Linked DNA regions of Macaca fascicularis. The protein of the gene in region 1 interacts with the protein of each later gene in a pairwise test. Links are inferred from orthologs where the notes say so. Each region holds a gene or a part of one and is shown on either strand. Other genes may lie near its edges.

Region 1 (4,087 bases):
ACATGAGCGATCAGGGCTGGAGTAAGTGCACCGAAAACCTACACCACTGACAGGCAGCCAGGAGGTTCAGGGGAGCCCTTCAACCTCTGCTTTATGTAGAAGATGGCATTCAAGTCCATTTATTTGCGGAGCTGCTAAAATATTGACTGATGCATGCACAGTGAGAGGGCAATCAGAGGAGATTAAATGGCACAGCGCTAGCCGTTATGGTGCAATCCCTTTCCAAGAGTTCCTGTGCAGGATTTTCTCTTCTCTCTGGTGGTTTCCTCAGGCATAAGCTTCATTCCAAAAAAAGCTCGAGTATCAAACTACCTTTACCCACCAAATAAACCGAAGGGTGGGCTTAACGGGGGCTTCTAGGAACTGCAGCCTCCTAAAAAACCCAAACAGAAATGTCTTAGCTAACACTGTTGAAAAAGTAACTAGCTATGCCTAAAAATAACCAAGTAACTACCCACTGCTGTGTGCAATATATAACGATGATGTTTAAATATTAAAAACAGCCTGCATTATAAAACACAAATGTCATTGAGATGTGACTACTAGATTGCCAAAGGAGAACTTATTTGCATACACACATTCCCGTGCATGCACGACAGGATGTGCAGGGAGAAAGCCACTGTAAGGCATTAGTTTTTATTCTGTGGGTGTAATAGGGTCTTCTAATTTTGCTAATTGTATCCTGTGGATCTCACAGGGAAGCTATGAATCTCTTCGGGGACAGAACCAGTTTGGAGGAGTCCCTACTGCACAGCATACGGTAAACAAAATAAAAATAGCTTGCCTTTCTTGTTAGCCACATCGCGCATTATATAACCAGCTTCTTCCGACTGGCTTTTTTTTTTTTTTTTTTTCCTGCCCTTACTACTCTTCAGCAATTTCTCAATCTTCTCAAATATTTGTATTACCCTTTTATCTGTAGGATTATATACCAAGAAAGCAAAACAAAACAGAGCAGCCACGGGCTCGAACCTAACCCCCGACGTCCTTAGAAACTGATTTTTTTTGTTTTGTTTTGTTTTCTGGCAGAGTCTCGATCACCACCCTACTTCCACCCCCCACTAAGGTTCTTGCTCAATCTCCCTAGAAAACCTGAATTGTTTCATCCCTTCCAGTCAGCCCCCTACGTGGTCTGAAATAAAATGAAAGCACAAGCCACGGAGTTTAAGAAGGCAGCCTGAAGGCGGGGGGCTGAAGAGGGGTCGGGGCGCTGCAGAGTCAGCCAAGTAGCCAAGGAAGGGCCACCTCCGCGTCGCGACTGCCCTCGCACCCCGCCCGGCGCGCGCGCACACACACACACAAATACACACACACTCACTCACACACACACTCACTCACACACTCACGCCGCGCTTCGACACCGCCTCACCTCTCGCTCCGCCCGTCCGGCCCCCTTCCCTGCCCCCTGCGGGACCGGCCTGCGCGCAGCTCTGGAACCACGTAGGAGGCGGCGGCGGCGGCCCCGGGAGTGGCAGAGTCTCCGGCCCGGCCCAGAGTGAACGAGCAGTGGGGCTCCAGGGCGCATCCCAATCCCCGCAGCGCCTCCTCCGCCGCCGCCGCCTCCTCCTCCTTCCCCTCCTCCTGGCTTCATTCACCCTCCCAGCAGCCGCGCAGCCGTTCACTCCCGGCTCAGGGCAGCGCCTGCCGCGGCTCCTCGGCTCCTGCCGCGGGTGCTGGCGGGGTCGCCGGCCCGGACTGGGGCGCTCGCGGGCTCCCGGCTCCGGGCGGCGGCTGCCGCTGCACATGATCAGGAAGCGGCCGCACCAACAGGGCGGCGGTGGCGGCGGCGGCCAGGGCCGCCACCGCCACTCCAGCCGCTCTCCAGGCACCCGCACACCCGCTACCCCTGCGCGGTCCCCGAGGCCACCCCCTCCGCGCCCCCCGCCTGGCACCCGGCCGCGCGCAAAGTCCCGGCCAGGCTGCAGGAGCAGTCCCTTCCCCGCCCGCAGCCGCACACCCGGCGACGCCGGACCTCCGAGAGGAGACCCCTACCCCGGGGCGCCGAGGCCAGGCGACCACCCGCGTGGAAGTCCAGCCCTCCCCGAGACCCCCTGTCTCTCACCGCCCTCTCCGGGGAGGAGGAATGGGAAGAGGGCGGCCGGGAAAGGGACCACCCCGCCACCCCGGCCGCCGCCACCTCCCCCCTGCGCCACCCGGAGGGAGGAGGACATAGCTCTCCGCACTCGCGACCGGACCAGCAGCCGGGGGGAACGGGGCCCCGCCGCCGCTCTCCCCGCCCGCGCCCCCCGCCCGGGCGCGCCCCCTAGCCTGGCGGGCGCCCACCCAACCCCTGACAGCCCCCTCGCCGGCCGCCCCTGCGCCCACAGTGGGGGTGTCGGCCCGGGAGCCTGGAGCCGGGGACGGTTGTATGTACACACACACACACACACACACACACACACACACACACACGCACACACAGAACACGACGCGTCGATTTCCTTCGCTCCTCTTCCAGCTGTTTTCCGTGCAGCCGATTGGGGTTTTGGGTTTGTTTGCTGGTTGTTGCTTTTGCCCCTCTCGGGAGATCGGGTGAGGAGGGATTTTAATCTAAATAAGGGGAGAAGGGGATGGGGGAGGGGGGAAGAATCAGAGGAGGAAAAAAAATAGCCACTTACTGTAAAGTGTAAATGGATCTGGGGTTGCGTGGGGAAGGGGGGGCAGAGGGAGAGAAACAATGTCTTGCGGCTGCTGTTGCTCTGGCTGCTGCTCCACGGGGCTTGTTTTGGATCCCCCTGCAGTGAAACAGGTCCTGTACGGCTCCGCCACTGTAGTAGAAATGATGTCTGCGGTATACTCTGCTCTCTCCTCCTCCTCCTCCTCCTCCTCCCCCTCCTCCCGCTCCCCTCCCCTCCCTCCTCCCTCCGCCCGCCCGCCCTCCCTCCCTCGCGCTCTCTCGCGCTCGCTCGCTCGCTCGCTCCAGTATGTAAATGTGTAATAGAAGCCAAATATGGAGCAGTTGGCTGCCGCCGCCGCAGCTCAAGGATCCGACTTCATGGGGGTGGGGGGCACCCTCTGGCGGGCGGCCCGGCAAGCCGCACAGAGCACGGCGAGCGCACCGCGCGGCGGCCGGCCCGCGCCCTTAACCCTTCGCTGCGCGCCGCCTGGGGAGGCGGACACCTTTCCCAAAGAGTGGCTCGGGATGGGGTGCGGGGCAGGGGAGACGCGGACCGGAGGGCAAGGTTCCTTCCAGGTTTGGGATGGGGGCGGGGAGCTGGGCGATGAGGTAATTTGAGCGGTGACGGGTCGGTCCTCGCGCGCCTCCCTGGGTCCCTGCACCTAGTTGGAGGGGACTGAGCGACAACGGGGCGCTACTCAGGCAACCTGGGGGACTCCCTCAAGGGGTGTCAGGCTTCAGCTGGGAGCCGATGAAACACCCCAGGGGGGAGGGGAGGTCAGTCAATTCTAATCCCTACGTGCCCTTGGTCCCCGGCGCTCGGAACAGCGTCTAAAAGGGCTCACTCTGATCATCAGCTGCACGTTAACCCGCAAACCGGCGTCGCTTCGGCGTTCCGGAACCCAGGCCCGGGGGCCGCGGGGATTGCCTCTGCATGCAACTCCGGAAAGTTTCAAGGGGCCCCTTGACTGCACAGGCACCCTCACCTTTCCTGCCTGCGAACGCTGGCGACCGCCGGACCCTCCCCTCCCTCTCTCCGCAGGTCCGGAAATCGGCTTTGATATGGAACTACTCCGCTCTAGCCTGGAAAGGAGACCCGCGCACTCCTCTCGCAGCTAATTTGGGATCATTAATTTAATCGGAAATGAGGTAACCAGTGTAGGAGACAGAGAAAGCAACCGGAGCATCAAATGGCAGTTCTCTACAATCGACGAGGAACTTAAATCTGGACTCAGGGTTTCATTGCGGTTCCCGACTCCCACCACCCGGCCCCTCCGCCTGTCCCGCCGCCAGGTGTGACCTCCACGCGAAGGAATCTTCTGCGGATGGGTGCACCTTGCCAACAGGTGTGGCACCTGGAGGATTAAGAGGCGCCTCCAGACTAAAGGCGCTCAATGTGGTGTTCTTGTTGCAGATGATTCTGGAAGGCCAGTAGGTGTCGGGAGACATTTGACCTTCTTCAGGTGCTTA
Region 2 (3,500 bases), on another chromosome or scaffold:
ATTTGTCTGACAGGGTACTTATTATTCATTTTATATTTGTTTTATTAGGATCATTTTCCTTCCCATGTATTCTCTTTGAACTTCCTTTGTATTGTTAATATACAGCTCATCACGATCTGACATTTATTAATGATTTATGACGTTTCTTTTGCTCCTACTTAATTGTGAACTATTTGATTCTTATTCATAGTACTTAATCACTACTCACTAAATACCTGGAATTTTCTACTGAGTAGTCACCAACTTACACAAGAATTAGTTGTCAAAAAAGTAGATTGGCCAGCCATGGCGGCTCACACCTGTAATGCCGGCACTTTGGGAGGCCGAGGCAGGAGGATCGCTTGAGGCCAGGAGTTCAAGATCAGCCTGGGCAACAAAGTGAGAACTGGTCTCTACAAATAATGAAAGAAAACATTAGCTAGGCATGGTAGCAAACATTTATGGCCACAGATACTCAGGAGGCTGAAGTGCGAGAATCAATTGAACCCAGGCATTCAAGGCTGCAATGCACTGTAATCACGCCACTGCTCTCCAGCCTGGACAACAGAGCAAGATCCTGTCTGAAAAAATGAAAAAATAGATTGGGCCACACGCCATGGGCTCATGCTTGTAATCCCAGCACTTTGGGAGGCTGAGACTGGAGAATCGTTTCAGCTTAGGAAGTAGTGGCTGCAGTGGGCTGCAATTGTGCCACTGCACTCCAGCCCAGTTAACAGAGTGAGACCTTGTCTTAAGAAAAAATGAGAAAAAGTAGATTGTAAAATGTGTTAGTCTGGGGAGGCCCTTTAGAAGGAAGGACTGTGAAGTGAGATTTAGTGTCATTGCTCCTTTCTCAGTTTGTTAGCTTTAGGACTGAAGCATTTTGAAGGGACTGAGTTTCTTAACCCTCTAATCAGCAAGTACCTTCTAACCTGCAAGACTGCCCGCCAACTGACAGTGAGAATCAAGAACCTCAACATGAACAGAGCTCCTGACAACATTATTAAAGTGAGTGTTTCCTGAATGCGCCATCCATGCACCTCACTAATACATATCCGTTCTTTCCTCTTGTAATTCTGAAAGGAAAAAAGAACCTTATTTTATCTTAAGCTAATTTCTCCTACTTATACACTAGATGAATTCCCCTGTTGCCTTTTCAGGGACATTGACTCATTCATTACGTTCCTCTGGAGTATCTTCATCCTGTTAAAAGATTTCATAAATCCATGTTTCCCTGTAATAATTCTCTTTCTTGAACTTTTTTTTTTTTTTTTTTTTTGAGATGGAGTCTCGCTCTGTCGCCCAGGCTGGAGTGCAGTGGCGCAATCTCAGCTTACTGCAAGCTCCGCCTCCTGGGTTCACGCCATTCTCCTGCCTCAGCCTCCCGAGTAGCTGGGACTACAGGCGCCCGCCACCACGTCCGGCTAATTTTTTTGTATTCTTAGTAGAGACGGGGTTTCACCGTGTTAGCCAAGATGGTCTCAATCTCCTGACCTCGTGATCCGCCCGCCTCAGCCTCCCAAAGTGCTGGGATTACAGGCGTGAGCCACTGCACCCGGCCTCTTTCTTGAACTTTCTAGAAATGATATGCAGTATTCCACTTACATGTTTTGGGGTTTTGTTTTGTTTTGTTTTTTGGTCAAATGTAATCTTGTACTGTCACCCAGGCTGGAGTGCAGGAGTATAGTGGCATGATCCTGGCTCACTGCAGCTTCCACCTCCCAGGTTCAAGTGATTCTCGTGCCTCAGCATCCCAAGTAGCTGAGATTACAGGCGTGCCCACAACGCTTAGCTAACTTTTTGTATTTTTGTGTGTTGGCCAGGCTGGTCTTGAACTTCTGATCTCAAGTAGTCCACCGTCTTGGCATCCCAGAGGCTAGGATTAAAGACATAAGCCACTGTGCCCAGCCTATATACTTTTTCTCAACTCTGTGTTTGTTTGTATGTATGCATGTATTTATTTATTTATTGAGATGGAGTTTCGCTCTTGTCGCCCAGGCCCAGCCTATATACTTTTTCTCGACTCTTTTTACTTATCGATTGATTGATTGAGATGGAGTTTCGTTCTTGACCCCCTGGCTGGAGTGATGGCACGACCTCGGCTGACTGCAACCTCTGCCTCCTGGGTTCAAGCGATTCTGCTGCCTCAGCCTCCCTTGTAGTTGGGACTACAGGCCCCCACCACCATGCCCATCTGATTTTTGTATTTAGTAGAGTCGGGGTTTCACCGTGTTGGCCAAGCTGGTCTCGAACTCCTGACCTCAGGTGATCCATCTGCCTTGGCCTCCCTAAGTGTTGGGATTACAGATGTGAGCCATCACCCCCGGCCTTCTTTTTTATTTTGATATTTATTTATGGTTTGTTTTTTGTTTGTTTAGAGACTGGTTTTCACTTTGTCATCCTGGCTGGAGTGCATGGGCACAATCATAGGTCACTTCAACCTCAAACTTCTGGGTGATCCTTCCACTTCAGCCTTCCGAGTAGCTTGTACTACAGGTGCATGCCACCAAGGCTAGCTAATTATTTTATTTTGTGTGAAGACAGGGTGTCATTTTGTTGCCCAGGTTGGTCTTGAAGTCCTGACCTCAAGCAGTTCTCTTGCCTCAGCTCGGCCTCCCAGAGTGTTGGGATTACAGGTGTGAGCCGTGATGCCCAGCCTTTGGTTTCGTTTTGTTTTTGTATTTTTCTTGAGACGAAGTCTTACTCTCCTGCCTAGGCTGGATTATAGTGGTATAGTCATAACTTACTGCAGCCTGCTCAAGCATTCTTCCAACATCAGCCTCCCAAGGAGCTGGGATTATATGCATGAGCCACCGTGCTTGGCCATTTTTTTTTTTTTTTTGACAGAATCTCGCTCTGTCACCCAGGCTGGAGTGCAGTGGCACAATTTTAGCTCACTGCAACCTCCGCCTACCAGGTTGAAACAGTTTTCATGCCTTCGCCTCCTGAGTAGCTGGGACTACAGGCATGCACCAACACACCTGGCTAATTTTTATATTTTTAGTAGAAACATAATTTTACCATATTGGTCAGTCTGATCTTGAACTCCTGACCTCAGGTGATCTACCCACCTCAGCCTCCCAAAGGGCTGGAATTATAGGCATGAGTCACTGTGCCTGGCAAAAAAAAATTGTTTTTTTCTTTTTTTTTTTAGAGATGGGGTGTCCCTGTATTGCCCAGGCTGGTCTTCAATTTTTGGCCTTAGGCAATTCTCTTGTCTCAGCCTCTAATTGGTATTTCCTGGTGTATTGGATTTAGGCCTTATTTATTAACCATAAACCATGGAAGCCAAAGATTTACCTCTCTCCTCACTCCCTTTCTCCCACCACAAACATGCACATTTTATGGTCTCCAAACTCCTCACTAGTAGTTATGGAACAATTTTGGTTAGATTGTATTCAGGATTTACATTGTAAGATTTTAAGGACTGTCGGCCAGGCGTGGTGGCTTATGCCTGTAATCCCAGCACTTTGGGAGGCCGAGGCGGGTGGATCACGAGGTCAGGAGATCGACACCATCTT
Region 3 (3,306 bases), on another chromosome or scaffold:
TATTTTGAACACATTAATTAACCCAGGATTGAGTGCAGTTTTAATGACAGTGACATTACAGTGAACACATTGAGCTTGCAGGTGGTTAAAATGCCAGTTAAGGGGGATGTTGGGAAAGGCCCTGGTGGTGTGCTGAGGAAGCAGCTGTGGGAGTTGGAAGCAGCTGTGGGAGTTGGAAAGTCAGAGGGAAGGCAGCTGTTAGTGCATCTGTTAGGCTGTTGATTTCGTGCTGGTTCTGTGTCTGACACTGACAAAGCCAGTTAACTCTTACACAGTAAGACAAAGATGGTGGATGCCAAGTCTTTATGAGCCAGTTGGCATACCACTAAGCACTAGCCATTGCCTGACTTCTTAGCCTTCCCAAGTATTTCAGACTCCTCAAGATCCAGTATATATATATATATATATATATGATCCAGCTGGATGGATGGGTGGGTGGGTGGATGGATGGATGGATGGATGGATGGATGGATGGATGGATGGATGGATGGATAGATAGATAGATAGATAGATAGATAGATAGATAGATAGATAGATAGATAGATAGATAGATACGATAGATAGAGAGTTGACATAGTAAAGTATAGATCCAGGTATATAATTGACATAGTAAAAACAATACCTTTAGTGAGATTACTTATAGCACCCAATCTGATTTGGTGAGCAGGAGTTGGTTTCCTTTTTCAATGCTGATGAAGGGGTTGGTCCCAGAAAAGACTTGTCTCTGTCTCTTTTCCATGGTGGGCAGCTATATAGACAGCCAACTCCATGGGTAATTGAGTCCTGTCCTCTCATCACTGACACTGCACCGTGTGTGAAGTAATCCTCTAAAGGGACCAGGCCAGGTGCAAAGGTTGCGTCCCCTCTTACAGATCAAAGGTTTGGTATGTGGGACAAGCTAAGGGGAGAAAGTAACTTTTGCTCCCATGAGACCTCGGGTTCATTTGGTCCCACCCTTCCTGTCTTAGAACCTTGGGAGCCATATTCCTGCTGTATCTGCATTCTCAGCCCAGAATAGACATGGAAACCCTCTCCCAAGGCCATCTGTTTACCTTGGCTTCTCCTTCCTCAGTACTTTAATGGGTGTCCCTGGGAGGACCATGGGAGTGATGTTCACACCTCTGACAGTGAAATACGCATACTATGACACTGAACGCATCGGAGGTGAGTAACCTTTCCATACTCTCTTGAGAGGTCATAGGCGTTTTCAGGGAAGGGGGCTGCTGTTCTGCAACAAGGATGGAGGCCTTGGGTGGTTTAAAAAGGGACTATTGATCTAAGGTTTGTGAAGACTAGAAGTTACAGTCATCTCTTGTATAAATGGGATTTAAGGAGTTATTTGAGAAACTGTTAAAGGTGGGAAATTATCAGCACCAGAGGCCACATGACCATTCATATGAGATCAAAACCGGTGATGAGCATACCAGGTAAAAGGAGTTGAGCTCTGTTAGGAGGAAGAAAAGCTGATAAGGGCACAGCAGGGAGTGTGATTGAGCAGACTGTCTAAGGGGAGGTGGGAAACAGAGTTAGCAGGACTTTAAGGCCATCTCTTTCCTGGTGGGATGACTGAATTCTCTCTCTTACTGCCCACCACTGCCACTGCCACCCAACTTCCACAGTTGACCTGATCATGAAGACCTGCTTTAGCCCCAACAGAGTGATTGGACTCTCAAGTGACTTGCAGCAAGTAGGAGGGGCATCAGCTCGCATCCAGGATGCCCTGAGCACAGTGTTGCAATATGCAGAGGATGTACTGGTGAGAGGGGAAAGAAAAAACAAAGGGGGAGGACATAGTTCTCCATCCTGGGATTACTGAGGCAGGTGCTGATGAAATGGTAGGGCGCAGTGGTTATAATTAACTGCCTCATTGAGTCTTTGTTTTGGTGCTCAGTCTGGAAAGGTGTCAGCTGACAATACTGTGGGCCGCTTCCTGATGAGCCTGGTTAACCAAGTACCCAAAATAGTTCCCGATGACTTCGAGACCATGCTCAACAGCAACATCAATGTGAGTGCCCTTCCTGAGCCCCTGCTTGCCTGGTTTCTTCCCCTACCTCAGCACATACACTCAAATGTGAAGAGTTGGGTGAGGTGGCCTGGAGTAGGATAGAGACAGGGCTTCACCTATAGCCCCATGGAAGTCCAGGTTGGGAGGAAGGAAGAGGTGTGGTATGCATGTTTGGAGACTTCTTCCTTCTCCCGTGATTACATTGTCTCATTTACTGCTGATGCTACTGTGACTTACTGTCTAAATTTGTGATAGAAAGAAACACTAAAATTCAGAGGTTAAGGAAAATGCAATTACTTGTTTTCCCCATCTGAGTTCACGGACCCCCTATATTCCATCCATGGGTTTCAGCTAAGGCACCCCTAGACTGTAAGTGTCTCAGTAGAGATAAGAAAGTCTTCTCAAGCATTTCTTTTCTGTCGTCTACCTTTTTGACTTTTATTCGGTCTCTCCCAGCTGTCATTTATCCACAACTGTCCTCATACCTAGTGCCCACCATAGAGCCAGCCAGTGCCAGCCTTTTTGCTCCCTTTCCACCCAACCCCCCACTCATTGTGTATTCTTTGTCTTCCAGGACCTGCTGATGGTGACCTACCTGGCCAACCTCACACAGTCACAGATTGCCCTCAATGAAAAACTTGTAAACCTGTGAATGGACCCCAAGCAGTACGCCTGCTGGTATAGGTCTTAAACCCAGGACTCAGAAGTGAAGGAGAAATGGGTTTTTTGTGGTCTTGAGTCACACTGAGACAGTCAACTGTGTGTGACTCTAATAAACATAGCCTACCTTTTGTAAATTAATTTCATCTTATGTGAGTTTATTGCCGGGTGGAAGGGAGGAAAATGTTTTAGATCACACAGAAACCAGGAAGTGAATATTGTAGGTAAAAAAGTTGGTTATGTGTTTGGCAGGTTACTGTTTTACCAAACTGTTCTTTTGGTTTTCAATATGGAAAGGTGTCCATTGGCAAAACTGTACCTTTTCTTGAGGATTCGTGTGATTTCTGTAGGAAATGAAAATAAGAATCCATGGAGAAAAAATAGCTGAGAAAATTGGATGCTTAATCTAAACTAAAAGAGTAGAGTGTGTAGTCACTATCTTAAAATACATTAATAGTAAGATGGAGCTGTCTGCCACTTTAGTTTGGGGAGGGACAATTAAGATCTGTGGGTTAAAGATTAAAGAGGTTTCCCCAAAACTTCAGAAAATTCTTAGGTGCTATCTGTAACTTGAGGGTACAGCCTTCAGTTATATTGAGGTCTGCCAGTGGCTCAATTTGAGCAAAGACTAGATGGCATTT

Evidence for each region. The genes of interacting proteins can lie anywhere in the genome.
Region 2: the proteins of ATXN1 (region 1) and YY1AP1 interact in binary tests that used the Homo sapiens proteins (3 or more experiments, as listed by UniProt). The link is inferred for Macaca fascicularis from reciprocal best matches to the Homo sapiens genes ATXN1 and YY1AP1.
Region 3: the proteins of ATXN1 (region 1) and EIF3F interact in binary tests that used the Homo sapiens proteins (3 or more experiments, as listed by UniProt). The link is inferred for Macaca fascicularis from reciprocal best matches to the Homo sapiens genes ATXN1 and EIF3F.

Annotation. Positions count from the first base shown.
Region 1 is NC_088378.1:156,154,676-156,158,762, reverse strand, and holds the start of ATXN1 (ataxin 1), read right to left. Parts: upstream 2,801-4,087; 5' UTR 2,619-2,800; intron 2,533-2,618; coding exon of another isoform or gene 1,429-2,532; intron 761-1,428; coding exon of another isoform or gene 698-760; intron 1-697. Other genes in the region: uncharacterized protein, read left to right, coding at 698-760, 1,429-2,532, 3,660-3,755. UniProt on the Homo sapiens protein: Chromatin-binding factor that repress Notch signaling in the absence of Notch intracellular domain by acting as a CBF1 corepressor. Binds to the HEY promoter and might assist, along with NCOR2, RBPJ-mediated repression. Binds RNA in vitro.
Region 2 is NC_088375.1:105,442,852-105,446,351, forward strand, and holds part of YY1AP1 (YY1-associated protein 1), read left to right. Parts: intron 1-836; coding exon 837-987; intron 988-3,500. UniProt on the Homo sapiens protein: Associates with the INO80 chromatin remodeling complex, which is responsible for transcriptional regulation, DNA repair, and replication. Enhances transcription activation by YY1. Plays a role in cell cycle regulation.
Region 3 is NC_088388.1:57,828,837-57,832,142, reverse strand, and holds the end of EIF3F (eukaryotic translation initiation factor 3 subunit F), read left to right. Parts: intron 1-1,072; coding exon 1,073-1,164; intron 1,165-1,619; coding exon 1,620-1,756; intron 1,757-1,891; coding exon 1,892-2,005; intron 2,006-2,579; coding exon 2,580-2,657; 3' UTR 2,658-2,806; downstream 2,807-3,306. UniProt on the Homo sapiens protein: Component of the eukaryotic translation initiation factor 3 (eIF-3) complex, which is required for several steps in the initiation of protein synthesis.